2 linked regions of the Oryzias latipes genome follow. The protein of the gene in region 2 purifies or fractionates together with the protein of the main gene of each other region. This does not show direct contact. Links are inferred from orthologs where the notes say so. Each region holds a gene or a part of one and is shown on either strand. Other genes may lie near its edges.

What was found.
Region 1: the proteins of mak (region 2) and kiaa0556 purify together in Homo sapiens (affinity purification with mass spectrometry; 3 studies listed by BioGRID and IntAct, with this or other methods). This does not show direct contact. The link is inferred for Oryzias latipes from reciprocal best matches to the Homo sapiens genes MAK and KATNIP.

Annotation. Positions count from the first base shown.
Region 1 is NC_019877.2:9,503,480-9,519,275, forward strand, and holds the end of kiaa0556 (protein KIAA0556 homolog), read right to left. Parts: intron 15,723-15,796; coding exon 15,634-15,722; intron 15,357-15,633; coding exon 15,193-15,356; intron 14,828-15,192; coding exon 14,715-14,827; intron 14,621-14,714; coding exon 14,519-14,620; intron 14,366-14,518; coding exon 14,213-14,365; intron 14,059-14,212; coding exon 13,818-14,058; intron 13,715-13,817; coding exon 13,583-13,714; intron 13,473-13,582; coding exon 13,321-13,472; intron 13,137-13,320; coding exon 13,030-13,136; intron 12,895-13,029; coding exon 12,798-12,894; intron 12,716-12,797; coding exon 12,506-12,715; intron 12,284-12,505; coding exon 12,146-12,283; intron 11,480-12,145; coding exon 10,630-11,479; intron 10,259-10,629; coding exon 9,470-10,258; intron 9,391-9,469; coding exon 9,182-9,390; intron 9,001-9,181; coding exon 8,922-9,000; intron 8,443-8,921; coding exon 8,265-8,442; intron 8,195-8,264; coding exon 8,029-8,194; intron 7,901-8,028; coding exon 7,734-7,900; intron 7,648-7,733; coding exon 7,583-7,647; and 16 more. Other genes in the region: cytochrome c oxidase subunit 6B1, read left to right, coding at 2,550-2,655, 2,782-2,882, 3,370-3,423. UniProt on the Homo sapiens protein: May influence the stability of microtubules (MT), possibly through interaction with the MT-severing katanin complex.
Region 2 is NC_019878.2:13,141,100-13,157,610, forward strand, and holds the start of mak (serine/threonine-protein kinase MAK), read right to left. Parts: upstream 7,370-16,511; 5' UTR 7,276-7,369; intron 7,247-7,275; exon of another isoform or gene 7,137-7,246; intron 7,123-7,136; exon of another isoform or gene 6,103-7,122; intron 4,654-6,102; 5' UTR 4,520-4,653; coding exon 4,416-4,519; intron 3,430-4,415; coding exon 3,375-3,429; intron 969-3,374; coding exon 847-968; intron 457-846; coding exon of another isoform or gene 377-456; intron 1-376. Other genes in the region: PI-PLC X domain-containing protein 2, read left to right, coding at 7,504-7,606, 7,803-7,939, 8,027-8,146, 8,478-8,531, 8,609-8,764, 9,827-9,937, 10,131-10,261, 11,694-11,853. UniProt on the Homo sapiens protein: Essential for the regulation of ciliary length and required for the long-term survival of photoreceptors. Phosphorylates FZR1 in a cell cycle-dependent manner. Plays a role in the transcriptional coactivation of AR.

The sequences.
Region 1 (15,796 bases), on a different chromosome or scaffold from region 2:
GGAGGGGGGGGGGTCATTTTTCATACTTGAGTATGAAAAAATGAGTAAAAATGTTTATTTTTGTTTCTTCAAATCTATTGATCCTGTGAAATCTGCCTTAAGTAAAACTGACATTTCACCTGATTTTCCAAATAAAAAATTTATTTTAAGTTTAATCTCATGTATTCTCTCTTTTTTTGTTGTTGGATAGTAAACCTTTTTGAGTCAAATAGGAAAATACAAAAGTCTCGTCTGATTTGTGCGCATAATTCTTGATTTGTAACTTGATTCTGCATGTTTGTGTGTTCTAGCAACATTTAAACGCATCACTTCCACACGAATCTTGGAGACGTAAAGAGTCTCAAACTCAAATTGATGCATAAATGCAGTTTTGTGTGTCAGGTGATTCGTGCGTTTTTTTAAACATTTGTGTGTGTAGTTCGTTTTAAACTGTTATAATTTTAAGGTGTGCGTGCTTATTTATATTGTATTTTTTGGACATGTAAAAAAGTAATTCTTGCAAGTACATAGACACACACATTTATTATATGAGTTACAAATCATGAATTACGCACACACAAATCTGATGAGAATATTTTCTCTCCATACCAGTAAGACTCTTATATTTTTTAAATTTTCACAAATTTTATTTTGATGCTCACAACCCCTTTTTTGTTAATCAAGTCGCTTGTTGTGTTACACATGTGCAATAATTAAAGGTACAGTTAAATCAATTAAAAGATAATCTGGAGGAGGACATTAAGGGAAAAATAAATGTCCCCAAAGGGACAGTCTAAGATACTTCCCAGTGCGGGTTCTAATGCAAATATATTTTTTAAGTTGCACTTACTTCCCTATTTCAGTGCTCCAGATTTGGAAAATCAATCAAGCTCCACATAAAACTAACAATGAGAGCCATTTGAATTAGGTGGGTTGCATGATGGAGTAGTAAAATGTGGATCTAGTACTTATTTTCCTTTCAGATACCTACTTTAGGGTTTGCCACAGCAAATGGTCAACCTCCATTCAACCCTGCTCTATAAACCCCTGTCATCTTCTTAACTTCAGCATCCTTTTTTAAATGCGTTCACTGTTCCTCTCCTGGACATGAACGATCCATTCCAGTCTGGGTTGAAAAACGAGTGTTTTGGCGCCCCCTGGTGTACGAAACGTTAGTGCAGTTTGCGGCTGGAACCCATTGGAGTCACGTCTCACATGGCGGTGACTTTTAGTTTAATGTTTCTCCCTGAAACGTGTCGACTTTCCTAAATGTTGGACATTTGTGCAAACCTTGAAAAAAGAGAGTTTTATGTATTAATAAACATTATAAAAAAACTCTTGGAGTGCAGAGCGCGAGGGGCGTGGACCAACGCAGTTTGTGACGTATGACGGGCGCGTTAAACGCGCACGTGCTTGAAAAGCTGCAACAACTTCAAAAAAATAGGTAAAAACAGAAAAAAAAACCATCACAATCTCCCCTTTGAGATAGAAAATTATGTTCTGATGAAATCTGATACGAATGAAAACGAATGGAACTACGTCACTATTTCAGAAGTGCATTCAATTAAAAAAGTTAACTCCACGACTTTACAATAAATCATTAAAATGACATTTTTCCCCCAATTATTTTTGGAGACATTGAAATAAAGAATCGATCGATAAACGCCCACAGCTCAACATTTTCACCTGACAGACAAAAAGCAAATACCGGTAAATGATTGACGCCAGAAACGAAACATTAAAATACTTCCGCGTTTGTTTATAAGAGCAAACTGATGTGGTCGGAACAAAACTAAATGTTTACTTTAACAAAATATTATAATCTAGTCATATGAAGGTGTTACACTGAATATTACTTTGGATTAATATGGTCTGAGTTTTTATGGGATCATCATTTCAATGTGACCTGAGTCCGCCATACCGACATCAGAGAATTGCACGGTCGCAGCTGTGGCACATCCCCACCGGAGCGCGCGCGTGCATCATCGCGCATTGTTTCTCGGAGGAACGTCACCGATCTAACCTTCCGGTATAAAGTCACTTTCTGATCGAGCTAGCCGCTCAAAGGTAACGTTTACCTGCATGCCTTCAGCTGAACAAACCGAACCTTTCTAAATGAAATGAGTCGTGATCTGTGGGTTAGGTCAGACATTAACAACCCGAATCTAAAGACTGTAGCCTACAGCTCCGGTTGAATTATTCTATTGAAGGAAAAGGAAGCGACTGTCAAAAAGAAAGGACCGTGTGGCCCGAAAGTCTCTCAGTCAGAGACTGCCAAGGTCATAACATATACATTTTTTCTGTTTAATGTTGTTAATGTAGGCCAATAAAAGTTTTGAAATGTTAGGACTGCTGCCGCATTAATAGGATGTTGCGATGGCTAAACATGAATGAATGGAGCTTCGGATGCTCACTTTATTTTTTTTTTTAGAAACCTCATCCGGATCTGAATTTGAAACCACCGTTTAGTCTATATTCTCCTGTCAAGGTTACAAGATAATGCAGGAATTTATCTGATAAGGAAAAAAACTAACATTTTTTTTTCTTCCTAATTTCTCGACAGAATAAAAATGGCTGAAGACATCCAAGACAAGCTGGAGAAATACCGCACTGCTCCCTTTGACGCTAGATTTCCCAACCAGAACCAGACCAGGAACTGCTGGTCCAACTACGTGGGTATGATTGCATCATGTATATATTCTAAAAACAGATATACTGACCTGTTAGGATGTGAAAACATAACCTGTCAAGATTATGTTTCTGCATATTTGATTGATTTAAATAAATGGGTTCTGTTGATAGATTACTACCGCTGTCAGAAAGCCCTGGACGCCAAAGGAATAGACACAGCCCCCTGTGAATGGTACAAGAGGGTCTACAAATCTCTGTGCCCCATGTCCTGGGTAAATATACCCCATAATTCCCAGCGTTTTTACAAGTCCTAGTGGAAAAAAACCGTAACAAACGAGCTCAAGCATACAAGAAGCAGAATATAAAAAGCCTCTGCTAAATATAAAACAATCATTTTATTTAGCATGGGAACAAGTTGTCATTCCTTCCATTCCTGAAAGTTTTAATAGAATCCAGGAATGGAGAGAAACAGACTTCAGATTTCCTTATTTACTGTGGTGGAGTTTAACCTCCTTAAGTTCTCACTGCAGAACAAATCTTTAAAAATGATGTAAACATTAGTAGAGCTTATCCTTTTTTTCTAATACCAAAGGAAGCACATTTAATAGAATGGACTCGGCCACACAATCTGTCAGTGTGGATTGTCATTTCAGATCAGGAACATGGAATATTGTGTAAAAATCAGAGCTTTTTTTTGGTTTATTCTCACTTTGTATTATCCAGAAGCATTGACCATCTCTAAAAACTTTGTCCCTGTAGGTCCAGAAATGGGACGACCAGCGAGAGGAGGGGACATTTCCAGGAAAAATCTAAAGCTGCCCTGGTCAAACCTCTTCAGCTAAATGTTTGTCCTGCTGTGCCTCAGGAGCACACTAGTACTGAATGTTCATTTCTTATAAAAACAGAGAAATGTACGGTCGATTCGACATTAAAAACTCAGGATACATATTTGAAAGTGTTGGGTATTTTCCTCTCCTTTATCACACATTAGTCCCAATCTGGTAAGATACTTTATATATATATATATATACTTATACCTTGATCAGCTACATCAAATAAATGTTTTTTTCAAGAATAAAGAAGATAAATAATTTTCAAAGTTTATTCATTTCAATAAACTAACATCAAATACACTTATAAGATTAGAAAAATAAATATTCAAATCAAAATCAACTGTTCCAAACAGCAGAACTGACATACACAGTAATGGGCATCGCTGCTGTTCTGAAATTAAATACATACAACTGCATTTCATGTACAGTTACTCTCAGGAGTACAGAGTGCAAAAGTCGTTGGTACTGGGGTTTAACAAACAGTACAAACTTCTTCAAACTGAACTATTATTGAGGACACTTCCATGCAACGTCTTTAAATATTGACTAAAGAAAGGTACAATACGATCTAAGCACTAAGTGGAATATATATTTCCCTTTTAAACGGCATACTTTTCATCTTGAGGTAATCGAACAGTATTTGCATAACAGATGCTGCTTGCTATCCATTTCATATACTTTTTTTTTTAAATCATTGTAAAGCTCTGCATCTATGTTTGCCTCCAAAAATCCACAAAACCGCATCTTTGATAAAGGATTGCAGTACTTTTTTACTTAGAAAAAATGTGTAATTTCTAATTTTTCTAATTTTTTTGGTCAACTATGGTCTCAATCGGACAAATGTTTGCATAACTTTAGTTTTTCTTATAAGTTGAACGCACTAAATGATGTACCTATTATTTATCATAATTATTTGTATAAATGTAAGTTTCCAACATCTCGATTTTGAAATCATTTATGGATAGAAATGGGTGGCTGCATAGCTTTACATCTGGCTTTTTATTATTTAGAATATATGAGGATGCGCTCAGCTCTTAGGTGGATACAAAACACAATTACCAACATCCTGACGTGAATATATTTATCAGATCTTTGAGCATTATGTCAGAAGCAGCATTAGTGTAGCAGAATAAGATTCACACAAAGCAGCCACATGTAGTGTTGAGTTTAGGCACAATTAAAGGGCTGGTAAAACACAGCATCTTGTGTTCTCCTGGCACTGTGGGAAGGGGATAACAGGTATGATACAGTACGTGGTCAGGGTAAAACCTGTGAGTCTTTTGAAAGCAAAAGATAGAAGAAATCCAAAAATAAAGTGGAGTCCCTGTGAGTGTCCATGCTCCGTCCACTTATGTTGCCATTATGAGACCTGGTAAGGTGGCTGCTGGTTGTTTCACTGCCAAAGGCCCCGCTTTTTAAAGTAATTCTGCCTTTTTCTGTGTTGACTCGTCAGTTAGTACCTCCTCTTTCCATGTTTTCCACCATCGGTCATGCAGGTTTTAGGCCGGAGAGCTGAGGCGAAGAAGACCACACAGGTTTTGATGTTGACATGTAAAACCAGAGTTTTATACAGTTGTATACAAAAGCAGTCGTTCTGCTAAATCACCTGGATCTGCCGTTTGCTTTTTCTTGCTGTGATGAACAATCTGATTCTCGTTGGTCATCTTCACGTCCTGGTCCTCCACGTGATTACTGCGCAGCAAGAACAAGAACATGGCGGGCATTTTCAGGTCAATGTTTTTGTTGTTTTTCCCTGCACAACATAGATATAGACACTTGAAGCTCTAAAATAAAATACACGGGGGAGAAGAGGAACGAGCACAAATCGGACACGTGGAAAGGAGGGAGTGGAACTGTAGGGGGAATCTGAGGACGTGGGATCTTTACAGGGATTGACCACAGGGAGGTGCTAACATGGAACTTTCTGAGCTCTGTTACTCACTGTCGGTGGTGTCTGCTGCCACGAAGGCTGAAGTGAAGAATAGTTGTTCAAAACTACTGAATTATTGGAGCTTGACAGCTCTTTTTTACACTTTCTTTTTCATATGGGCTAGTTTTAAGCAGATCTGAAAAAAAGAGGTAATTGGTGAGGGAAAAAGCTGGCGTACCTGATGACCGTGTTTCTCTCGCGATGAGCGATGTAAGTATCGTCTGTGAATAAGATGGTGTGGTACGGGACCACTGGATCACAGGTGGGCAGGATTCCCTGTGCTCGGGGGCTTACGCATTCCAAGATGCCATTATAGACCAAGAGGTCGTCCACTAGTAGCTATGCACAGACGGTCATGGGGTTTGAAATCCAAATGCAAACAAAGAATTTCAAATGTCACCAAAAAGCTTACCCCAAACTCTTTAACTCCTCTCTGAGGTGTCTTTGAATAGTTCCACAGCTTGATCATGGAAACGGTTACGGGCTGATCGAAGATAATGTAGACACGGTTCACCTGCATCACAAACATGTTAAAACTCTGCGTAAATGCAAACCAGGATAAAAAAATAAAAAATAAATCTTCTTGCTCACCAATCCTGGCAACACGGGCGCTAACCACATATGTCTGCCGTCGTGTGTGTTGTTGACTCCATCTATTAATTTTTCAGGAGTCCTTACATCACCGCTGATGTTGTCCAACACATTCACACTGTCTGGAAATGCTGCGATGTCTGGTGGACAAAATGTTGAGGAGCGATGGAGAACAATGAACCATGAATAATTCCAAAATGCTGGCATAAGCCCCAACTGACAGCCGGTTTGAAAGAATCCTGTGACCACGCAGAGTTTGAGTGGCACATCACAAATGCAAGAGGTGTAACCATAAGTCTAAATGGCTCCAACAAAAGGATACTGTTTTCAGAGAGGTTGATCTTCTCGTGGTTCTGGTCATAAAACTCCAGGCCGTTCAGACCAATGTAGTAGGGATCTCCCCAGGTGGTTAAAAGCTGCAGCTGAAATATGACTGATAGGTGATGTTAAAGAATGAACAGAAAGAAAAAAATCAAACCTCTTTCTTCTTTTTGCAGCATTTTGCAGCATTTTCTCTAAGTGCTGCAAAAGTGGTGGATGTTAAGATAACTCTATTGAAAAGTCTAGAAAAAAAGGTCTATTTTCTTATGTTTTTAAGTTCTAAGAACTGTTCCAAACTCACTCGTCTAGCATAAAGAGATCACTTGACCCAGAAAGAGTTAATTACCGTAATTTCCAGATGATAAGCCGCTACTTTTGTCACACGCTTTCAACCCTGCGGCTTATTCAATGATGCGGCTAATTTATGCATTTTTTTTCTTTCTTTCTTTTTTTTTTAATGCATTTTTTCTAATGACCACTAGGGGCGCTCGATCAGAAAGGGTAAGAGTGAGACAGGGGGATTGCGGTATATGTGTCGAGGAAGACACAAGTTTAATGTAAATTCCTGCTCTGTGAATGAATAGCACGGACAGACCCTTATTATGGAAAATGCAAGAAGAAATGCATATGACGCAGCTTTAAAGTTAAAAGCAGTGTGAAAAAATCCACCATCCTTGCGCTGCATGTGCTCCCTCCTCTTTCTTACACACACGCGCGGTTTCAGCACATACACATCCTCACTCTACAACACATGTTTCAATGTGGGCACATGGGGCTTATAGACAGGTGCGGCTCAAGTATGTACAAAATGGTTTATCCTTTAACAATGTAATGGGTGCGGCATATAATTAGGTGCGCTCTATGGTCCGGAAATTACGGTATAACTGAAACAACTAAACACGAATAGACAAACTCAGTCAATGAGGAAAAATGAACAAAAAAAAGAAAGAAAAAGTAAAACAACTTCTTTGTATAAAACTGTAGATGTAAGTAATTTTCTTCACATCAAATGTCTTCTTCTTTAGAAAACTTTTCCTTCCTTAAAACTTATGTGCCAGTATTTGATCAAACTTTAGTTGTTTAGGTTTAAGTTTGCTAACCTCTGTGACAACCTTTCTAAATTTTGAAGAGGAAAACTAAATCTAGCCTTGCCTTTGCTGGTTATAAGGTATATCAGAATACCTTTATGGTTTTTTTCCATTTCTATTTTTACAGAAATAGAAGCTGAATAGAAAGTAGATGGTATGAAAGTAAAACTATCTAAACCAAAATGCTAAATTAGTGTAAAAAAGGATACATCCACAAGGCATGATGGGAGCTTCATAATCCATGCTGGCCAGTTCCTGCTTCTTGGAACTTACTCTAAAGTATAAACATTAAACATATTTAATAAAATCTTCTCCGGTTTGGTTTAAAAGAGAGGTTTGTGTGGATCTTCTACCTCATACCTGTGAGATTCTTTGTTCTTCTTATTATCTGTTGGCGTCTGAAGGAAGTTGATAAAGAGGATCTCCTGGGCAAAATCAAAGTGACAGTTGCCGGGTCCTTTCCTGATGAGGAATCCTTCCACGGGAGAGATCGCAACATCGTCCAAAAACAAATGGACGACTTTCACCTGAACACAGAGATTTTTACACTTACTTGATGACAAAGAGCTGCATTCGTTTATTCCCTCTAAAACAGAAGAACTATGCGTGCTAACCAAGCTTGTGTTTGAATTTGGACATTTGAGTGATAGCTTACCCCTCTGTATGAATCCTCAGGAGACTTGTTGTAGTTCCAGATCCGGAGGCCAGCTATAACCTGGGGTTTGGTGAAGGTGATGCTCAAAATGTGGGGCTCTCCATAGGAGAAAGGAATCAGCCACATGTGCTCGTCGTCTGTGGTGACGTTGTGGCCGTCAATTAGCCTGAAGAACAAAACGGGTTTTTAAAGACTAGTCCCTTCAGTACTGTACATTTGGACTCGGTCAGACATACTTATCAAGGGTTCGCAGGTCATTTTCATACTCCTCTAGGTCGTTGAGGTCCCTCGGGGAGGCAGCCATCATGCCAAGATCTAAAGGTAAACTGTCACCACTTTTCCCCACTATTTCCAGGCCTGTGAGGCCCACATAATGGGAGTCTCCCCATGTCATCACCAACTCTACTCTAAGGCCTAAAAGGACAAAAGAAACACATTTTATTGACAACAAAAACAGTGATGCAAAACAGTTCAAAGCGTTCACAGTGGTCTTTTATGATTATTCCATTTTAACCAAAATAAAATTGTTAAAAAAACGGTTGTTTTCTAGGATATAGTTTCTGCAGAGCCACAAGATTTATTCAGAAATTCGCCATTGAATTATGGGTGGGACTGCTGGCACTGAAGAACCCCGCCCTCCCTTCCTGTTGCTGAGATCTCAGAGCAGGGATCTTGTGGCCTGCCCAGCGTATTTTCTGTCACAAATAAGCTTTTTTTCAAACCAGAATTTTTTTTTGTCTGTTTTTGATTCACAACAATCCAGATAAAGAAACCCTCAGAAATGCATTTTAAGCTGAATTTTCTTTATAAGTCTCCTCAGTCATCAAAAACACCAAAAACATACCGTAATTTTCTTCAGAGTGGGTCTTTAAGAGAAAGATCAGTTGACTCACACTTTCCAGTGTACATCCCAGGAATATGCTCCACGTTCTCCTCATAATTGCTTAAGGGTAACTTCAGTGGATGTTTTAACTAAAAGAACAAAAGTTCACATAATTAAGCTTCTAATATTAGTGTTTTCTTCTTTTTTTAAATGTTCAAATGTGCAATTCTTTGTCCATGTTGAAATCCTTTAGCTTTCATGAATCTTTAAATATACAAAAATTATTTGTTTCCAAGTTATAAAATCAAGTCATTGGTGAACTCTTCTTACACAGAGGTCTTCCTCTCTGAAGCCAGCCTGTGTGAACGGCCTCTCTTCTCCTTCGCCATCAGCGGTGCGCGGCCTCTGCAGCTCCTCCTCAGATGCCAAACTCTGATGACCCTCAAATTCACCGAGGAAGGTTTCATCATAACGAGACATGGCTTCCAAGATCTCATCATCAGTGGTGAACAGGATGGTGTCTCCAAACTGATCCAATTCTAAAGTGACACCAGAATGAGGGAAGGTTGCACTAAAGTGACACAAGTGTACATTTTATGAAGCCTTCTGCTCAGATACCTCCGCAGAGCGTTCCGGATGCCTTGGCGATTTCTTCTCTGAAGATGCATCTTCCATCTAGCAGCATCTCCACTTCTCTCACACCGCGGAATGAGTGAATGCGGGACTTGTTGTAGTTCCAGATACGAATCATAGCAATCTGACACACGCCTCCAAAGTCCATGAAGATGCTGTGATTGCGACCAGGGGTAAAGGGCGCTAACCAAAGGTGCATGTCGTCCTGGGTGCGATTAACACCGTCGATTAAGTTGGTGACCACCCGTGGATCCTTGCCGTACGCGGGCAGAATGTTGATGTCTGGGGGGTTAGCGTGGATATGTACAGGGCGAAGGGGCTTCCCAGAAGAGCTAAACACTTCAATGCCATTGAGACCTACATAATGGCGATCTCCCCATGTGGACAGAATGTTTATAACCAACTTTTGTCCTTGTGGGAGCACAGGGATCTCAAATTCGTCTTCTCGCTCCACAGATGGATCATCTTCAGACACTTCAGATGTTAGACCCTGAGAGGTCAGGGAAGTCAGCGGGCTTCTGGGAGCTGTAGAAAGGTTATTCTGGACTGTGGGGGTATCCAGTCTCTTATACTGAAGGAATTCATCGAGGATGTCACCTTCAAAGCTCATGTTGGAGATTCGTCCTCGCTGACACTGGTTAAACTTTATGAGAGAATCCCAGGACTCCCTGAGGGTGTCATCCTGATGGCTGTGCAGCTGGGCCCGGGAGCTGCTCTGTCTCCTGTCCGGGTTCACCAGAGACATCGGATCTTCTAAGGCATAAATACCAGACTCTGCGATATAGACACAAATCAAACTAAATGCAAACCCTAAAGTGTTTATTTCTGTTTATGCTCAACCAGAGCATTTGCTTATGAACATAAAACAAACAAAAATACTAAAAATAAACAACTGCATTAAGTCTGTCAAACGGTCCTAATCCACAGTCCGAAAAGTCTGTAATTCACGTCAAAATACAAGATTAATAAAGTAAAGCTGAAAAGGCTTGATGAATAATTCTAAACTTTAGACCAATAAAGGTTTATTTAAAATTCATTATTTTAAAAATGTATTTAAGAGTGTTTTACTTTGTGAGCAGCTAGGTTAGTTGGTATTTATGAGAAAAACAGAAAAAATGCAAATGGAAGGAGAAAACCCCACACACCTGTGTTTGTCCCGGCAGCAGCCCTCTGATGCTGCTCTTCTGCCTGCACTCCAACTACTGAAGGACTTCTGAAGGAGCTTCTGCGTCCACTGACGGGTCTTTCTGCCTTTGGCTCCAAAAACTCCTCCAGCAGGTTCGCACTCAAGTCCAAAGAACCAGTCTTTTTCTGACCCCCGTTTGCTGTCCTGTCTACTCCCCGGCACACTCGGCCCGGGTTACAAGGCAGCTCTGGTAGCATTGAAGACGATGAGGCTGCTGGTGGTTTGGATTCGCCAGAGTGCTGAGGTACCAGCCACAGAGGCTTCTCCCTGCTGGTTTCAGAGCCCTCTGGGGCACCTCTGCTTAGAGGCTGCAGCCACTGGGAGGCAACCCTTGAGGAGGATGGCTGAGTGGTGACCGTCTGGTCAAGAGGAAGCAGCTGCTCTACCTGCTGCCTAAGACAATGAGACTCTTCCAATGAAGCAAGGTCAAAAGAGTTCTTCTGTGTGGAGGAACGCCAAGAAGAAGTGGCTGATGGGATGAGGGGCAGCAGAGGGGTGTGGGCTTTTTCTTGCATGTCTACCAAAATTTGGCTTGGTGCATCTGACGATGCTACTGAACTTCTGTATCGCTGCATTCTGCCGCTCTCTGCCCCCTTCTTGTCGTCATAGTGATGGGGAGTTGCTCCTCTCAAATTGTGCCCAGAACACACAGGGGTGGAGAAGGACGACTCTGGGATCTGGGAATCTTGAAGGTTGATTGTGGTGCTGTAGTCAAAGACTTGACTGCCGCAGCCCTTCTCCAGCTCACCTTCAAACACCAGGGTGCTGTTCAGGTAAAGCTTTACATGGCGTGCTCCTATGTCGAGGTCCTGAAACATACACAACCTTGACTGATCTGCGTTTTGAACTTAAAGAAATGCTTAACACCTACAAATGTATTAGAAACAGGTCAAAATGAAGCAAATCATCTCCACAAAGCCTAAAACATAAAGAGGAAAACTTGAAAGTTTCAGTATTGATAGAAAACTGTAAGGCATTTCAAGAACCCTTTATTATTACTACATATCCTATCAAACGTACTAGGCTAGCAATAAGTGGTGCTATTACAAAATAAATCTGCCCTGTCTGAATTTACTTACCTCACAAGCTTAAGACCTCGATGATATTAAATCACAAACAGGTATAACTAGAGGGGACATTAGTGAAGCTACAAAATATTATAATGAAGGTTTTGTACCCCCTTTATGAGCAGAAACTGCTCAAAGACAGAAGCCCAATCCGCACTAATCCTCTGGCTAATCTCTCAGTGTTCCACATTTGGATGGAGTGACTGTCGGCTCAGCCAACCACAGCTTGAAGACGGGCACTTCTCTCACGTAACCGTCAGTCACCCCAACAACAACAACCACACGAAAGCTAGTGGAGCCTGCTGAAAACAAAACTCGCACTCGATAAAGACACCATAAATATTCATTTGACATTAGATTTAGAAAATAATTCAGAGTAAACCCCCAAACTGGTTACAAAGCACATACTTTGAGGCTTCTGTTGTAATTCCAGATTTTGATACAAGATATTCCAAAATCCAGAGAGCGCTCCATGTTTCTGATGATGAAATAAAGCTGGATTGGAGGGTGGAAAGGGCACGTCCACATGTAGCGCTCTTTAGTGGTCTGTCCAAAAACGACAATAAGAAAGGAGTAAGGTACTGTTAACAAGCAATGTATTTGTAGTCAGGTTGAAAAGCATAAGTTTGTTCAATCATCCTATCATCATCATCCTCCTATTTTTAACAGGAAGTAAGCAGAGATTTAACCCCAATTTGGGGAGAACCAGTGTAACTAGCAAGCTTGTAGAATGAGCAACTATTTAATTTTATGCGGAACAATGTCCACCTTCATTTTTCCGTTGACGAGGGCACCCAGGTTCCCTGGGAAGTCGGCATTCCTGACATCTAGGTCATGAGGGGAAACGTAGATCTTCTTGTTTCTGCGGCAGAAAAACTGCACCTCGGTCAGCCCCACCTGGAGCAAGTTTCCCCAGTTTGACAGGATCTCCATGGTAACGTACAACGCAGGGGTGACCTCTGCTGGCGACTGCCCTCTCTGCAACACCAAACCACAGTTGGTGTAACGAGGCATCATCAGGATTATTCACTCTGATCTGCGAGACGTGTTGCTGACTCACAGTCTGCTTGCTGTGATCTGTTCTAACATTGTGAGAAATATTGTGGCTAGGTCCGGCTTCGAGCTTCTCCAGGGCTTTTAACAGCGTCTGTTGTTGCCTAAACAAAATGTTTGACACTGTGAGCTTGTTAGTTTTGTCAGCTGGGTGATGGCTGAGCCCTGGAGCAGCAACAATCATTATTTAAAGTAACTGAGTTGACACCTACAACATTTTTACTGAACTGCTGTCTTACCTGGGAGCCATGAGCGTTATGCGTTGCATTGCCACTGTGACATTGTTTTCATCTTTGTCGTGTTTGATGTCGGGCTTCAAGCCATCCATCATCTGGTGTCCCCGAGTCTGGATGAAACGGTAACAAATAGACAGCAAAAGAGGTTAGCACATAGACGCTTAAAATCAAGCCCAAACTGAAAACAAAAGCAAACACAGAGTAAAACTGGATACAGAAGAACGGCATCATGGTGTCACAGTAAATGTACAATCTTTAGGAAAGGCAAATTAAATATAGGGGGGTCAAACAGACCATGCCGTGACTGAAGAGCTCAGCGTTCTGGATTGAAGCGTTTTCTTTCTGTATTGCCTGGCACACCATGTACCGCGTTTCCTCTGAGTCTCGCTCTTCAACTGAAGCCTTTCTAGTGGCTGACAGGGATCTCTCCAATTGACTTCTTGGCCCTCAACGAGAGACAGATTTTTTAAAAGCTATTTCTTTATGGCAATACATTAAACTGGTTCAAAGAAAACTTTCTTTAGATTTAAAAAAAAAAGTCAAATGTACAACTTACTCTGACCGTCCCAGCCATCTTGTGAAGGTGGCCTATCTAAAGTTTTGCTCTTCACCAACACAGGTTTGACTGGTATAAAGGTGTCAACGCTTTCTTTCCTTTTTGCAGAAAGAGAATGTTCAATTTTATGACCTGTAATTACAAACAGAGGCCATTCAATCAAAGATTCAATTTAAACTTGAGTTCAAAAGCTGCTATTAAAAGAGCAAATAAAGAAACAGGTTTCCAGCCGGACCTTTTGGGGAAGGTCCAAAATCCAAAACGATGAGATTCGTTGAGTCAAAGTGATTCTGAGTCCGGCTTGGTTCCGAGTTAGAGGAGGACTTGGAGGAGGAAAGGGGGAGCCCAAGCTCATCCAGACTCTCTGTGCTGTCCTCTCTCTCAATCTGCTCCTCTACCCACTCCTCATCTGACTCCTCCCCCGCTGAAACGCTGCTGCTCCGTCGCATGCTAACCTCCAGGTTCCGACGCAAAACCTAGTTCAGACAGGCAAAAACGCTTCAATTCCTGGAGTCATCAGTCACGCAAATATGCAGACATTGACAATGTTATAATTTGTGATGACTTATATCTACATTTCCTATGTGATAAGAAAATTCCCCACATATTTGTGTGTAATATTCCGTTTACCTTCACTTCCTCAAGGTTCAGGAGCACCTTCTCAGCATGCTCCTGGCTTGCTTGGCCTCCCTGGCTCTCGGGCTTGGAGCGTGAAACCTTGCAGGGGTCCCTCTGGCAGCAGGGACTATGAGGGGAGCGAGGACTTGAGAGAGGACTAGAGCTCTGTGCAGAATCACAGTCGTCAGAAGAAAAAAAAAAATGGGAAAAACAAGAGAAGATAGAGAGATGCTGAGTGGTTGAGACAGCTACATCTTACACACAATGCCTTCCCTAAAACACCCACACACGCCGTCTTAGTGGAAATCGTCACCCTACCTCCATGTCTACACTTTCATAGGGATCAAAATCATCAGAGTAGCGCGTCTCTGGGGTTAATTTCAAAGTTGGGCCATCCTCTGTTTGTATTTCAACTGAATTCTTAAGACAGGAAAGGGGAGATTATGTAAATAAAAAACATATTGGTTTTTTTTTTCTTTGTTAAATCATAGAATGTAATATTAGAGGGCTGTACCTGCACCCATTCTTTCCTCTGAACCTTTTCTGGGGCGGTTTGGCTCCTCTTACCGTTTGTCTGATCTGGAAAGCGGCTAGCTCCGGCTAGCTGGTGGGCGCTTCTACACACATCTGCAGATGAGTCAGAGCACAGAAAGGAGCATGAGCAGCATACAGCAGACTGCTGCCTCAGGGGAGAAAGACACATGCAGATGGTGCACAGCACATGCAAAATGACAAAAAAAAGCAGGCAAATAAATAATTGCTGCAAGCTATAATTGTCACTTCCATTTACTCACAATGACTGAGCACAGAAGCAGAGCATGCAAACCACAAGCTGAGGAAGAGGTGGTCTTTAATTGCTGCATTGAATTTGTTTCATATGACAGAACTATGCAGCTTGATTCAATTGTAGCTAACAAGCCTTTAAAATGTCATCCATAAGTTAAAAAAAGAGGATGTTTGATATGAAATTGATTTTTTTAAACACAGCATACCAGCCGCATGTGCATGCAGAGAGGAGTCAGGCTTTTTTGGGGGGCTTTTGGGCTGCCTTTTGTTACATTCAGCATTGGCTCCGTTAAGATATATTGAAAATCCTTGCTCAAGACGTTCCAACTCGATCTCTTTGGGGCCTTTTACTCTGAGGCGCTTTAAGATTCTGAAAACCAAAGAAAACTGTTCAGTACCTAAAAAGAAGAAGTAAAATAAAAAATCACAGGGTTTAAGTCAAATATTTTAATAGATAATAAGCCATTTAAACTTCCTTAAAAAAACAAAACAAAGTCCATAAACTTCACAGCTATAAAAATGTATTTTTCAAAGCCAAAACTCAAACTAATCAGTGTAGCTGCTGGACACCACTGAAAGTCAAACAAGATCATCTCCTCTGTGAAATCCAATCTGGCCATCTGGGTCCGCCTGTGCTCACACCTCACCTGTTTTTGTGTTGGAGGGAGATTAAATATTCATCCAGAGTGTCATCTCCAGCAAAGGCAGGTTTCTCCGTTTGGCACTTCTTAGTCTTCTGCCGGAACATATGCATAAAACAAACCACACACGATCAAGAGTCATAAAAACTCACAGCTGATGGCACAAAAA
Region 2 (16,511 bases):
AAAGGAGGGAAGGAAAAAAGGAGAAATTTTGAGAGAGAAAAAGTTGCAGGAAAAGGGAAGCCCAGAATACACTGTGAATGTTATTTTAATTTCACATTAAAGTTATTTATTAATTCAACGGTTACATCACACTCATTCATCATGCAGAACAACCTAAATCAGTTGCAGAAAACACACAGCAAAGCAGCCACAGAGGGTTCACATACTACAAGAATTAGATGAAAGGTTCGATTAATATTGTGTTGGGTTCATTTATATAATCTCACCCTATGGTATGAAGAAATTCATGAACTTTGAAATGATAAAAATTCAGAATCTTGCAGGATGGAACCCCTGTGACACGCTTGCAAACAGGAGGAGGGTGCGGCATACCTACCATGTTTGTGAATAAATGACAGGCCTTGTAAAATCTGAAAGCTTATATTTCTTATCACTGACTCTGGAAACTTTTTTATTCTGTAAACATAAAACCAACATGCTTTTTTAAGTAGACAGTATTATTTTCTCTCTATTACACAACCAAAGGCTGTACCACCCTGGGTGCTTGGTGTAACTCTGTTGTTATCTCTAACAGCAAATCTCAGGTGTGTTTTGAATCGTTGCACACTTGTGGGAATCTAATCTAAAGTCAAAGTATTTTTCCACAGATGCAGCTAGGCAACAGCTGTTTACAAAATTTATTGAGAGAAGGAACTGCATGATGAGGTGACACAAATACTGGAATAAATATAAATATACTGGAAATCCCTGGATTCAACTTACAACTTTAGTGTTTAGCTGCTTTTTACTTCTGGTAGACAAATAATTTCCCAACCAAAATGTTTGCCCTGTAGATACTTTTCCTACCTGTCCTTCATCAGCTGATACAGGTTCTCCTTCATGTACTCGAAGACAAAGTAGAGGTGATCGTTCTCTCTGATAACCTCTTTTAGTTTCACCACGTTTGCATGGTTCAGCTTCTTCAGTGACTGTAGTGATGTTGTGGAAGATACAAAAGATTAAAAGAAAAAAAACAGTATTTAGTGCATCTAATTGACATCAGATTTAGTGTAATGTTACGTTCACACAGGCGTTGTCAGCGTGCGTTCAAGCGACTACTACCAATGTAAAGTCTATTTAAACTCGTGGGTTTTGGACTTCCGCGTTCAAAATTCAAACATTCATGCATCGCTACACAAGTCTTTAACCCTTGTGCTATCTTAGATGACCCCACCCTTACTTTGACGTGTTATTCCTACCATGACAAAGGTGGACAAGGTGGAAAGATTTCATGTAATCCATGGACACCAGTGAGGATCACAAATCATTGAAGAAAAAAGGTTCAGCGCACTGTCTAGTGCAGGGGTGTCAAACTCATTTTGGTTCGGAGGCGACATTCAACCCGTCTGATCTCAAGTGGGCCGGACCATTAGCGTAAAGGCAAAATAACAGCTTTATTCTTGTTTTTTTACCCAATTGGAAAACATGCCTCAACCAACATGGTAGCCTAATCATTTCTTATTACACATTCATTCACAGAGGCCAATAGATCTTAAATAAAATTAATTTCACTTTAAAAAATATTGCTTTATTGAATTTTAGACAGAATGAATATTTTAAATCTGACACTGAAGCAATCCTGATAATAAATTCAAGAGGGGCTACAGAAAAAAATGAAACATCTTCCTAAAATGTAAACGTCCAAACGATGACAAAATTACACTAAATTAAACTTGCAAAAATTTGTGAACATAAGAGTTTGGAGTTAACCTCCTTTCTCTCCTGAAACTTCACAAGACCGTCAATATCAGGATTGAAATCCTGTGCAGAAACACATTTACTGTCATTCAAGTGTGCAAAACACAATGAAATGTCCATTATTATTATCATTAATTATTATAAGAATCTTTTCCTGGTTTCTGCCTGAATTTTGTGGCAACACCTGCCTTCTTCCTGACCTTTGATGGGGCGCCATCAGTGACCAAAATTACTTCATGTGACCAGTTCACTTCAACATCGTCCAGCACACTAACTAGAGAGCTGACTACGTCATCAGTTGTTGTTGTGTCCATCAATTCAGGAAACTCCACTGTGACGTCTCTTCATCACCTCTAATAAATATGCACAGCTGTATACATCTGTGATATTGGTACTTTCATCAATAGTGACTGAAAATACAATAAATGACTGGATTCCTTCATATGGCTGCCCATGTTTCCTCAGAGATGTTGGATCTAAAGTGGTAATTCTTGACAGACTCATGTTTAAGGTCGACTGCTTTTTGGGAAGACTTCTGCAGCCTTCAGCTTTTTTCAATAAGTTCACCATCAGAAAATGGATTGGATGTTTGGTCCAACTTGTAAGGTAGCTAGGTGTCACTGCTCCATCACTGACATCACGGCTGCAGTAAATCCAGATGGTTATTTATCGGTCCAGCTAATAGTTGCTAAATCTTTTTTTTTCTTAACCGCAAATGGTGAAACTTTTCTTTGTGGTGAGTCTCATAGTGGTGCTGGATGTTATATTCTTGGAAAACCTGTTGATGACATACCAAGCATGCAGGTTTGCATTCAGCTCCGTGAACAAATAAAACGCTTTCCATTTTCCTGGAAAGCTCAGGACTTCACTTCAACCTTTTTTTTCTTTTTGACAAAATTTTGGTCATTAGGGTGTCACTACTGATCATCCTTCAGTGTTGAGGCTCACAGGGAATTCACAGAGTTATGTTGTTTCACCTGTTAAGCTTTTTCTTTTCTCCCCCTAGTGGTGGATTTGCGCATTTCGGTTATTTCTTTAAAAAATCATAACTCGCCACAGGAATTGACTAGAAACTTGCTTTCTTTTTTAAACATCCTTATGAATTTTACTCTTCATGTGTGGGCCGGGCTAAACCACCTGGCGGGCCGGAAACGGCCCATGGGCCGGATGTTTGACACCCCTGGTCTAGTGGGTCTAGATGACCCAACTCCCAATGGTAAAGTGCCTAGGATAGCACAAGGGTTACGTCCAATTTCAGGCTCTACGTGTTGAAATACGTTGAAAGTTAAACCAGTTTGACCAATCAGAGACTCGGATTTGGAAGTGAGGTGTGGGTAGCATTCTTTTCAATTCATGGAAGTTCCACTGGTTTGAAAATTGATCATGGGGGAGAAATTAATAAATAGGTTTGAACAGCTTCAAAATTTTGCACCAAGCCTCTTCTATGTGTAGGTACATGCACTAGTATCAGGGGTGAACACCAAGAACCCACGTTTAGCGCATCCTTTACTGTACAACACATGCCCGGTGTGAACGTAGCATAAGAAATGTCTATGATTTGGATAAAATCACAATTTCCATTTGACATACTTTACAAAAAATGCTGCTTGTTCAAGAGTAAAGATTTCCCTTCTTACCTTCACTTCTCTTAGGTTCATGCACTCATCCCATGAATAAAATTTCTTCTTCATCCTGGAAAAAGACAAGGAAAAAGAACAACTCTGGAAAAATGCAAGAATGCAACTGAAGAAGATGGTGACACAACCATCACTGTATCCAAGACACATCATAACACGGGAACTCTCTCAACAGCACTCCTTTGTTTGACTTAATTAATAATTGAGTTTTTTGGACCTGTTCAAATTTCTATTTCAACCAATTATGTTAAAAAAAGAAGAAGAAGAAAACCAAAAAGTCAAAGAAACTGTAGCATTTAGTTAAAAAGGCATGTAGATCAGCACATGTGTTGCCATGTTTGTGAACACAATACCAGCTGGCGTTCACTTCTCTTCCCCAGTCCACATTGTGTCTCCATCCCTCTGGAATTACGTAAGCGTTTTAGAATAGCACATATCCATTTCTCCTAGTTCCCTCCTCAATGCCAGCAACCTGAAACACCCTCCCCCCTCCACTTTCTCTGGCTTTTATCAAGACCGCACGTATTTTCTTGCACAGTAACCAAATGGTCAACAAGACACATCTCCCTGCTTTCTCATTTATTATTGACGCTTGAGACTGTGTCGCAGAAGCAAGGCAACGCAAACCGGTTTGGTTGCTTACTTATGCTGACAGGGAAACTGAATTTGTCAGACTATCTTGGTCCTATAGTCTTCTGGTTTTATAGGGCAGTTTAGATTGGAGGGAAAAGTTTTTAAAATACAGGAGCTACACAAAAATAGCAAAAGTGATTTTTTTTTTGCCGTTGTTTTGTTTAAATACTGTAAATGAGAGATGGCTAGTTTTATTCAACAAATCATTCGAAAAGTTTAAAATAAAAAATAAACGTCCTTTTTGTCAAAGTTTCGTTGATCAAAAATTTTCATGGTTTAACCTCATTGTAGAGCAACATCCTCACTGTCAAGTGGAATGATTTCCATTATTCTATCAGGATTTTACGTCTCAGGATTTTAAGAAAACCTTAAAAATGATTTGTTAATAACAGAAATGATCAGACCCACCTCTTAATGGCCACATATTCTCCAGATTCGTTGTTTCTCCCCATCAGCACACTCCCATAGGTGCCATCACCCAGCTGCTTCAGGGTGGTGTAGCGATTCATCATCTCTTTCAACAGCCGCCTAATGTTTTTTCATTGATCAGATCCGTCTTTCTCGTGCTCTTTTGCTCCTGAAACTTGAGTTTAAAACTCAACTTTTTAGCAAATCCATTTGACATGCAGGTCAGGGAGCGATGGAACTAAAAAAAAATTAAAAAAAGGTTAAATGTTACAAGCAGAATTCTGTAAAGTGAAGCCCCTCCTCTATACTGCCTTCAACATCTATGCAACAACTGAAAGGTTGGGCTGTTTGTTTCCTGCTCTTCACCAACTGAGGAGGATTAGGTACGTGCCACGTTAGTGTTTGCAGGAGGCTCCGACATGAGCACCCAAGGGAGATGACATGGCAAGCCTCAGGAAGATTAAGCCCAACAGAGATGCAAATAGGATGTTACATCACCAACATGCACCTTCCCCAGGCACCCTGCTCGTCAAGAGGATTTACCTGACGCCACGGGGCCACACCAATCAGACTGCTGTAATACCTCTCAGTCCAAAACACAATCTCCATCAGCTGCTTTGTTCAGGCATCATGAAAAACAACTGTTATTTGTGGATGGTAACTGTTTGCAATCCAAAGCAGCAATAGCCTTAGCTTTTATAAATATGACTAATCAGACCTCCTCATTAATTAAGTAGCTTCCGAGCACCTTTAAACACAAAGTTAATAATTTTCCATGGATGCATCACATCCGGATAAAAAGGCTGTTTTGGATCTCATGAATAGATTTTTACGTTAAAAAAAAAAAAAAACCAACAGAATAAGCAGTGACAGGGAGATGGCCAAGTAAGTGCACTACTAGATGGTTATTATTACAAAATGATTATACATTTGAATTGTTTAAGTCTCAAACAACAATAAAAAGCAACTGCATCCAGCCAAATAAAAAAGAAATAAGATTTATTTTTATTGACTATACACTGGAATCCCTTTCTGACACAAATATTAGATATGGCTCACATAACAGAGTAAAATTTAAAAAATGTCAAAACGTGTCACCTGTTGTTTCAATTGATTAGAAGAGAAAAGAATTGAATTTAATAAGTGAATGTCACCACAGAGCTCTATTAAAACAGTAAATAACACTAAAAATACACTAGTTACGATAATAATCATACTAATTTTGCACAAACAAATAGAATTTAAAACATCAAAGAAAACCAGGCAAATCCACTGGGCTGCTTCAAGAACGGGTCTGTAATCTGCTGGGGACGGATTTAAAAGGAATTAAGATCCACAACCCACATGACCTTAGGGAACTAATCAAGGTTAAAAATACACATGAAGCACAATGGAAAAATACAAACATGGCATTTTATTTTGTCCGGAGCAAAATAGGATCACTGAATCGTAATTGTTTACATTGCAAAACTTTTATTTACTGTATTAAGGAATTTGAACGGAGTATTCATAAATGATGTTCGTAGAATTAGAATTTAGGTAAGAAAAATAATAGTGATTATAGTAATATAATGATATTAATTACTCATAGATAGATAACGTTCATGTCAGGCTTGTGGCGTTGATCTTTCTACAGTAACGAGGCGGGGGTGTCCCCCCTTTATCTTATAGTCCCTGTCAAACTCACCAGCTAGAGGTGTCGCTCCCTCCCTCAGCCGTTGTCTGCCACAGGTGATAGCTGCTGATAAAGAGAAACTCGGACACAGTAGGGGCTCAGCTCTCACGATAAGACCACGGCGTGTGCGCTCCAATTCTCCATGGAAACGCACACAGCAAAGAGACGCCTGTTTTGGCCGTCGGACTCGAGGCGTAAGTCTCTCCCACGCAGCCGCAAAGCATCATGGGTCTTAAACTTAAACTCCGCGTAAATCGAAATCCGAATCTGTTCATGTTTGTAACGCTGGTTTTAACGTTTTCCCGAAACATGATAATGTGCAGACCAATAATAAAAGAAATACATAAAAATGCATCACGTAAAATCCCAGCTATAGGATCTATTTTTATTTGTTGTTTTGAGTCTGTTTCCATGTGAAACGACATTAAACCAAGTTTATGTGCTAGTACTAGATACATACTATTCTTTTTTTTCTTAAAGCTTTTAAAATATTCTAGAAAATGCAATTATTCAATATGCTCGTTTAAGCAGTAGCAATTAGCAACTTCAACCATTAGATGGCGCCACGTGGTCATACAATCAAACACTGTAAGTCTTGCCCTTAGTTTATATTTGTTCAACACTTTGTCTTAATCTATTACATTCACGTAAAAGAAGAAAAAATATTTAGTCTACCGCATTTGTTTTACCACATTTTATTAAACAGTGGAATAAAAGTCGTTGTTTTTACAAACTGCTAAAACTAAGGCAGTAAAAAGCCATCTAAGTTTATATGCGCCACACTTAACGGGATATATTTGGTGAATCCAAGTTCAAAGCCTCCTGGCATGTTTATTTATTTACTTATCTAACTGAATAAATTCATCGCATCGTGCTTTGACAAATTAACCCGTTTGGGCCTCATCATGGGTGTTGCTGTGCATCCCCTCACTGATAAGATGATCCATTTGAGCTGATTACTGCTTTATGCGCATCCATCCTGCCAAGCTGGAACTATGGAACATGCTGACTAAACAAAAATCGACTAAATCTTCCAGGTTTCTCACCTTGAGGAGGTTAAAAAAAAGTGTCCGCTTTTCCTGGGAAAGGTTGTAGGTTTCCCGCGGAGCAGGTTAAGTCCAGGAGCAGAAGAAGGGGGCGGGAGAGAAGGGTGTAACAAGTGGGAATTGACCATAAGAGGCTTACCGCGGTCGTTAACTCCTCTTTCTCTTTGGCCTTGTCAACGCTGCGCAGTTGCGGCCCAACCTGCGCGCCGGTTGCACACCGGTGATGGCGCTCGTTGCTGCTCTGGTTTGTAGAGAATAAACAAACTGGAACCTTCCATGATGAAAATGGATCGTGATCGCTTGTTTTACGGGATTTGGTTACCGGGCGTGCATCCGGGCCAGGAAGCGGGCTCCTGATGCTGCAGAGATGAGGACCAGACCTGCAGGAATCGGCAACGTCAATGCCGACTGGATGGGTTCTCTGCCATCCAGACTTAGTGCCATGCCCCTCAAATGCCTCGCGGTGCCAGGTGAGCAGCCAAACCGGAAACACTTTAAATAAAGTCAAATTATACATCTATGCCCAACTAATATCGATCAGTGGATTATAAATAAAGGGACTAACAGATTCATTGTGTTTCCAGTTTAATCTTTTGAGTGTCGTGAGAACAACGTGTCCTTTAGGTCAGATCTCTCACTCTCTCCTCCTCCTCCTCTTCCTTTCAGGATCTCATGACTCCTTCACGTTCTGGGTAGATGTGCACGCGCCTGTGGCTCCAGATCAGAAGGCCTATGTGAAGTATCTGGCCACTATGTTCAGCGTCTTGGCAAAGAAGGTTATGGTAAAGTGGTCAATGACACAGGTAGATGCCCCAAATAATCAGACTATAGATTTGGTCACTTGTGTATGGTCTCCATGAATTTAAGGATCGTCTCATTTCTGTTCTTAGAATCTGACATTCAGGGAGCAGCTCGATGCAGGAATCCGTTACTTTGATCTCAGAGTTTCCTCTAAACCAGGAGAACTGGGCAACGAGATCTATTTTATCCACGGCCTCTTTGGACACAAGGTGAATAGAGAACCTGACATCTGTGCTTCCAGAGATGACTCACGCTACAGGGATCAGAGTGAGGTCACCCCTTCTCTGAAATGGGTCCTCTGGAATTCCAACCTGCCTGTTTCTTATTTGACTCTTTTCCAAGGACTTGGCCATGAGAACGACTGCAAGCTGGAAATGCTTTTTAGAAAAATACTGATGTGATAATGACAGGATTTTGCACTAAACTGCTTTCACCTGTAATTTCAAGGTTGTAAAAAAAAAAGACACACTTTGATCTTGACATTTCAGCTCAGTTTTTATGTCAGCTGACCTCCAGCTTTTCTCCTGTCTGCTTCCAAAGGTGAGGGATGGCCTGTTAGAAATTAACACCTTCCTAACCAGACACAGGAAAGAGGTGATTATTGTTTGTAGGCAACATAAAAAGCTTTGCTGCTCAATTGCTTTTGTGCTAACAGTCCACTCCTGACTCAGGTGGTGTTTTTGGATTTTAATCATTACTATGCAATGGAGGCAGAGCATCACGTCCATCTCATTAGCATGCTGCAACAAGTGTTTGGCAGCAAGCTGTGCAAAAACTGTGCTGTGGAAAGCATCACTCTGGACTACATGTGGGAGAAGAAATACCAGGTGAGGTCTGCACTGAACATTTACAGGTGCAAATGTTCAGCCAAGGTTTGCTTCCCCACAATTGTAAACATACGCACACACACACACACACATATGATATATATATATTACACTTAAAAATAAAGTTGTTTTGTCTTTAAGCAGCTACAAACTTTGTTGCTAGTTAAATTTTATTGTGCCTATGAGAGTAATGTAGTTTCATAACCTGCATCTAATGTCTAGATAAGTTTAGGATTTAAATAGATTTAATTCATTTTTTCTCAAATTTCTATTTAAAACCAATTTCTAATAACCAGTGAAATAAACTGAACTAAAATCAATAAAAATATGAATTTTCACAATGAAAACTAACTAAAATAGTTTTTTGGGGGTTTGCAAAAGAAACCAAAAAGATTATGAATTTGGTTGACTGAGATTAAGCTGTCGCAATCCAGCTCTCACATTTGTTCTTAGACCCAACAAAATAGTGAATTAACTAATCTCTGCCACTTAAAGTCTTTCTGGGGAAGAATTTGCAGTGAGCATCATCCAATTAACACTTGTCACCTTTCCCTTTCCGACCTTTTAACCTTTCCTTCTTTACTAAACCCTTCTTTGATGTCACATTTACATTTTTGTCCATGCATTTCTTTTATGTTTGCACCCTGATATTTGAATGTTACATAGTGTGCTAGGTCTCAATAAGAACTGACACTAATTTCCTTTTCCCTTGACCCTAATCTGTGACTGGCTTACTTGGCAAAGGGGACAGAGAAAGTGCAGCAGTCAGGACAGGAAGGACAGGATAAAGACAAAGAGGAGGAGATTATACAAAGTGCCTGCAGAGGGCAGCCTTTCCTCTCACTCTTACACCAAAAAAGTCTATGTAAAGGCACCCTAAGATTTAATGCACACTAATAAAGATCAATTGTTTTTGTTTTTAAACATTGGTAACTGTGAGCAGAATAAAACACAAGTTACTAAACATTATTCAACCCTAAAAATACCCGTTTGGCCATCTGAACAAGCTATTTACAGTAATTCCAGCTTTCAGTGTAATTTGTTTCCTTTTTTCCCTTGCAGGTGATTGTATTCTACCATCATCCGTCAGCACAGAGTATCCCTGTCATGTGGCCTGGAAATAAAATTCCCGCTCCCTGGGCAAATACCACTGAGCCAAACAAGCTTATACAGGTACGAGAACGTCTCGAAGTCTTCTGTGCTTCTTTGCATTTGACAGATCCAACTAAAAGTTAGTGTTGCTTGTTTTCCCCACCCATGTAGATGTCTGCTTTTCCATCGAAATTATCTGTTATCTAGAATGACTTCAAGAAGGCTTAAGTTTCCCGGTGTTTCCTTCAAGAGCTTTTACTTTTCTCCTCTGCAGTTCCTTGAGATGACACTAAAGGAAAGAGCCAAACAGGGGTCCTTCCATGTTACCCAGGCTATCCTCACACCAACAGTCAACACTGTGGCTAAGGGTCTTGTGTGGGGACTGCGCAGTTACCTGGTGGAGAGGTCAGTGTGAATTTTTGGAATTTAAAAAAGCTCTTCCTTTTCATAAAAAATTGCTAAAACACACCGTTGCAAGTACTGTGTAGCCATGTGTCATTTTTTAAGATATTGTTAGCAAAATAAAAAAAAATCAGACAAGTTTGAGCATTTTGTGATCTGTATATTAGTTTGTTGAGTGTTTTGGAAGTTTTAAAAGTTAGTTTCTCTCTGTAGGGGGTAGTAAATGCTGCTGTTAGCACGTATAAGACAAAAAAAATGTATACCAGTAAATATCTGGATCAACGATCTGCAATCTCTAATGCTAAAAGAGCCATTTGGTCCAGTTTCCTACCGACCGAAACCCAGCGAGACGCACAAAGTCCCACTTCACCGTATATAAAAATACAATTCGTTTATATTTTTTTGGCCATGCATTCATAAAATGTAGAATAACATTTTATATTTTATATTAACAAACAAAAGTGCTATAATATTCTTTATACAACAATTTTAACTTCTTTTACCTTTGACGGCATCACATACAAGTTCCTTTCAAAATAAAATACACCTTGTGCCAAATAAGATCCTCCTTCTGCAGGAGATTGACGTCAAATCAAACATGGCTTTTCTATCCACCGTCATTCTTTTACCATCAAATATAAACATGATAAGAGTGGTATAGAATTCCAATTAAAAAAATCAGTATAAGCTTTAAGTAAACTCAAATAACAAACCACTCTAATGGTAGATTAAACCTTGTACGTTCATTTTAATCATTTATCTGACACAATAAAACTCGAAACGTAAAGGACAAAACTTTATTAACTAAAACAATATTTAATAATTGTTTATCAAATAGCTCATTTGGAATATATTTTTACCAAAAAACTTGGACTAGATAAACATCCTAATCCACACATCTTGTGTATTTAACAAAAAAGTAACACGTCGTCGATCTTTTCATAATTCTTTGAAGTCACTTTTATGATAATCCAGTTATGGAACCTAAAATTTAAATAGAAAACCAGCGCATCTCCCAACCCAAAGATTCACTTTCCGCATTTTCGGCTCAGAGAAAAGCAGACGCCAGAGCTGAGTTTGAAAAGGCCCAAACAGACACTCCAGAGAGACAGGAGGTGACCTAGTTCTGCACCTTGGAGGAAATGGGATTGTTTACCTCTCGTGGCTAAACATTTGAACTTCCTGCTTTTGTTCTGGTCTCGGTTGACATAGTGGATTATGGATAATGTTGAAGTGACACAGTGTTGGTGTCTGGGTGTTTGTGAGTGTGCAGACAAAAACTTTACAAGGCAGCTATGGAAAAGTTGTTCTCTCAGTGACAGACACTCCCTTGAACTATTTTTCCTCTCTCGGTTCCTTCGTTTACCCTCACAGCGTAGTGGATTTATAGTTTGGTAACACTTCTAAAACTAACTTTCCTCTTTTGTGGCTCCAGAAATCTGCCAACCATCATGTCCTGGATTGAAAGTCAGAAGCCAGGGGTGGATGGAGTCAACATCATCACCTCTGACTTTGTGGAACTCACTGACTTTGCCAACGTTGTCATCAAACTCAATAACCTGCTGCTGTCTGAAAAGAAGCTCAAACCAAGATGACCCATGTACTCTTTGTTGACACACATTTCATTGTGAAATTATAGTAACTATTATTTTTTTAATTTAATTTAGGATTTTTTAAATTGAATTAATCACATACAAAGCTTCTGTTAACTGATAGATACACTTAGATTTAAGTTCTTCTGAAATTAAAAAGCCTTTAAATCTTCCTGGAACTCGTTAGTTTTGGTTGTAGCTCCAGTGAACAGAGTTCTGAAGACTTAGAAGGAGCCATAGTTGAGATCAGAGAGTGGCAGGCGTGCCCAGCAGCACAGTTATAAATCCTCCTCATAAGGCTGACCAAATCCTGTCATGCTACAGCTCTGGCTGCTTTTTTGCATTCCATCTCCAACTGGAACCAAGTTACTGAAAAACATTATTTCATCTCAAGACAATTCAATTTCCAGCTGATGAAACGTTTGAATGAACACATTCTCAGAAAAGAAAAGCACACACTCACAGTCTCTTCTTGTGTGTTGTGTGTGCATTTATATCAATCAATAGCTACACTCAGCTACACTTCGTTTCCAAAATCAGGATTTATATGAAAAAAAGTGTTCACCATTCCATGATTATGGAGAAAAATCCATTTAGCCGTTTTCCTTGTGATTTTTGATTTAACAGTTTCTCAAAGCGAATTCTGTCTTACTAGTAACACTTATAGAAACTGCAGACTGTGGCATCTTCCCATAGTGGCATGTACTTTAAAAGGGAAACCCAAATATGTGTAAAAAAAATAATTGTGCCACAGGTTCATTTAAATATGCTAACATACAAATGCAGCTACACCTTTTGCTTGGATGCAGAAATAGAAATGTGTAATATGTTGGAAATGTGCAAAATATTGGAAAAAGGTGGTTGTGGGAGGTGGAAGATTCAATTTTTAATCTTGCATTTCAAGTTTGTACTAGGATCCGTGAAAGCAGAATACTTAATACAGATGATATTTTTTGTATTCTTGTGTATTTGTATGTGTGTGTGCCTTGCAGGCTCAGTGATTATGTATGATGGTAGCGCTGTGACAGTCGTCGTGCATTGTTGTGGGCAGATTAGGGAGAGGAACAATGCACAGACCGAAGGGAGAAAAAATGCTTGAGGGAAAAGACAGAAGAAACAAGCAACTTTAGGAACGATAAGGAAAAATTCAGTCAGAATACTTTAAAGGAAACTATTTGTGGAAAATCTCAGGAAGTTTATGAGATAAAATGTTAGACTTATGTAACATTTTTACCTACTCTGGCAACACTAAGCTCTATAATTACATAATCCATTGGGTGGTTAAAGTTTGTAGAGCACTTTTATTAAATCTCTTTATACCTGTATGTATTATTTCACATCACTGTAGTGTAGAAGCAAGTAGAGCAAACGTTAATTTTTTTTTCCGCATACAGCACACCAAACCGTCTGCTTATATCAGCTTGTACATTTTATTTTTTCTAGTGTTTCAATCAAAACTTGTCACATACAGTAATACCTGGCAGCTATTCAAAAAAGGCACTATGCACTCTTAATATCCGCAGGATTCTGGTCTTTTTCTTGACCAAGTCAAAGGGAAATACAATATTTTCTTTTAATAAAGGTTTTTCACAGTGACCCACCCTTTTGTGAATCCACTTCTAGCTTCACGTCTGACCTTTTGACACGTTTGGTCATCAAACACCTCGAGGTCCACAAGAAGACAAACAAAGGCACTTTAATTGTGGAGTAATTACACATACCATGGCGGGCAAGTGGGAGAGCAGCAGGCTGGACAGTGAGCATTCCTGCGATGTTGGGATCGAGCTTCTCCTTCTTTTCTTGTCTCTCACTTCACTGTATCCCGTTTGGCTTCCCTGGTTTAAAAGGAGGAAATGACTTGAACAGGAGTTTTTTAACTCAATAAAGACATAAAGCATTCAAACTTGTTTGTGTCATTTGCTTCAGTCAAGATTGAAATTCTTTCCATCCAAAGGGATGTTACGGCACTTCTCAGCAATCCTATTTTTTTTTTTTTTTTACTTTTTACTGTTGTTGGAAACAGCAGCAAAAGGTTTCTGACTTTCTCATACTGGACAGCATACTGTTTGTCATTCTTTCCAGTCACTCATTTCTTTTTCAACAGGTTTAACACTTCAGCTTTCTCCCCATGTGCAGTTCTTGGTGAAAGCAGTTAAAGGGAATGTTTTGACACATAAATCATCAGTAAACTTTATTCTGGCCAAAAATGGAGCATTTTGTGGGCATTTTGATTAGTGGAAAACACGAAAACTTTGTTTTCATGCCTTGTTAAGGTGAAAAAGTGTTCTATTAAAAATTATGCAGGTATTTAAAGTCATCGGTTTAACAAAGAACATATGAAAACACAATTTCTGTTGATTTTTCATTAGTATTTTCTCCCAGTGATGTCAGAACCAAGGATCAAAAAAGTCCTACACATGGGAATTTAGCGCTATCGTTCAAAAGATGATGACTCTGGTGCTTAAATGGCATTAAAAACTTGTGGCATGGCGTCTAATAACTGTCTTTACTGGGAATGAGTCAGTCTATTTGCCTTAGTTTGCAATAAGACACACTCAGTGTTGTCAGCCTCACTCAATCGTGTGTCATTAGAACAGTATTGAAAGCATGTGAACTCAATAGGTATACCCATTCTTTACAGCATTACAGCAAAGATGACACTGAGATCTGGGAGGGCATCAGGTGATCAAAAGTAATTACATTCATGGAGGTTTCACCCCATATTTTATAATTGGAAAATGTTCCGACACAGACTCCTTTGCGATATAGACCAGAAAATATTTTTCATTCAAACTTTATTAAAAAATCTCTTTTTGTCCCTAATGAGAGTAATCTTTTACAACAGGTTCTTCCAATAGAGAGGCCTCCAGAGCTCCTGCACAGCCTCCTGGGTTCACTTGGGAACTGTGGAATTCTTTTGGGAATGTTGTCGGACATTCTTCAGGCCTCTTAAACCCACATGCTCTCGAATGATGTCATTAGGAAAATTTAGCAGTTCTCATTGCTTGCAAGCACCCATGGAGACATAATAGTGCAACGGCTTCTGGAAACACTTGATATGAAAGTCAAAAGGAGCAGGCGGGCTCCAGCGTCTCTCTTTTTAGTCAGACTTTATTTCATCGCATCTCTAAAGCATAATTAAGCACTTATGAGCTGTTTGAATTCAAAAGCTGTTGGTGTTAGTAGTCTTAAATGTGTACATTGATGAATTGTAATCTGAACTAAAAAAAAGCTCTTTTTTTACCAAGGAACGCACTTACTGCCCTTTTCTCGTCATGTTAGGGAGCAGCTGAAACAGTGAAGCAGGGCTTGGGGCTGTTTACCCGTCAACGGATTTGCTCACTGCCTGAGAGATAAGATAAGATGCTTGAATGAAAAAGTTCATGTCTTTGTATGTTTGTGGTGTCTATTACTGCCAAAGCTTTCCTGACCTTAGTCTGACCAATGAATCAGTTCTAGGACTTTGTTTGCATGTATTAAATTCAAGAACACACATACACAAAAAGGGTTTAGGTTACATAACTTATCGATCTTCTGCTGTACATGTTGTTTGCATTTCAGTATACTGCAAACAATTCCAATTGAAAAATGCCCTTTAGTACAGCTTCGATGGCATTAATTCTTCCCTCATGGCACCTTCAGAATGATGCATGACTGAACATGTAAGAGATTTTTGCGATAGTGCACATATCTCATGGAGAGGGCTGCTGAGAACTCCCTGAGTGGAGGTTAAGAAAGATTTAAAAAAAAAGAAGTTACATGCATAGATCACTTTAAATGATTTATAGATTTTTGTGTAATTTGTGTCATCTTGCAACCCTCAAAACATCTATAGGACGTTTTAAAAAACAAAACTCAACCAGACCTTACTTTTTGTTTCAATAAAAAAATAGACAATGCAGCAAACATTGGAAATTAGAATGACCTTTTCTGCATTTGATAAACAAAATTGAAACAAATTTGTTCAAATCTGACTTTCATCTGGAGTTCTATTTAAAAAAAAACATCTTAAAAGTGCTTTAAAAAGTTATTTCTCTTCATAAGGAGATTTATATTAATGCTTGATGGCACTTCAGGCTGCCCCCATTAAACCCATTGCCTTTTACTCTGGATGCACACTATTATTGATGGGCACCTTTTTTACATCCTGATATAAATAATAATGTTGGAGTTCAAATTTTCCTTTGGGTAAGCTAATCCTTGTATGCTCCTCTCCTTTTCAGTACTTGCTATCTCCTCCTGGTTACACAAACGAAGACATGTGAAGCATCAATGTACTGTATTTAGGATTGTCTTTTCCTGATTGATTTGTCATAAAATTGGGATTATTTTCAACTTAATTTGTTAATGCCTCCATGCAACCTAAACCCAGAAAAGCTCTAGAGTTTTACATTCTCCTTTCAATTATTATGAACAGAACTGTGAAAGCAAAGTGTGACCTCCTCTAATGATGGAGGACATATGCAGAGAAAATTAAGCTTCAAATTGCATTTCTGACTCAAATCAAATAGTTGTGAATTTGGAGCAAAAAAAAAATGCAGTTGGAAAAAGCTTGTAGGTGTGAAGTAGAACCTACAACAGCAGGCCACAAGCTCCCTGCTCTGCTCCATTCTGATGCATCCACTTGCAGACACATAGATACATTAACATCTTTGTTTTCT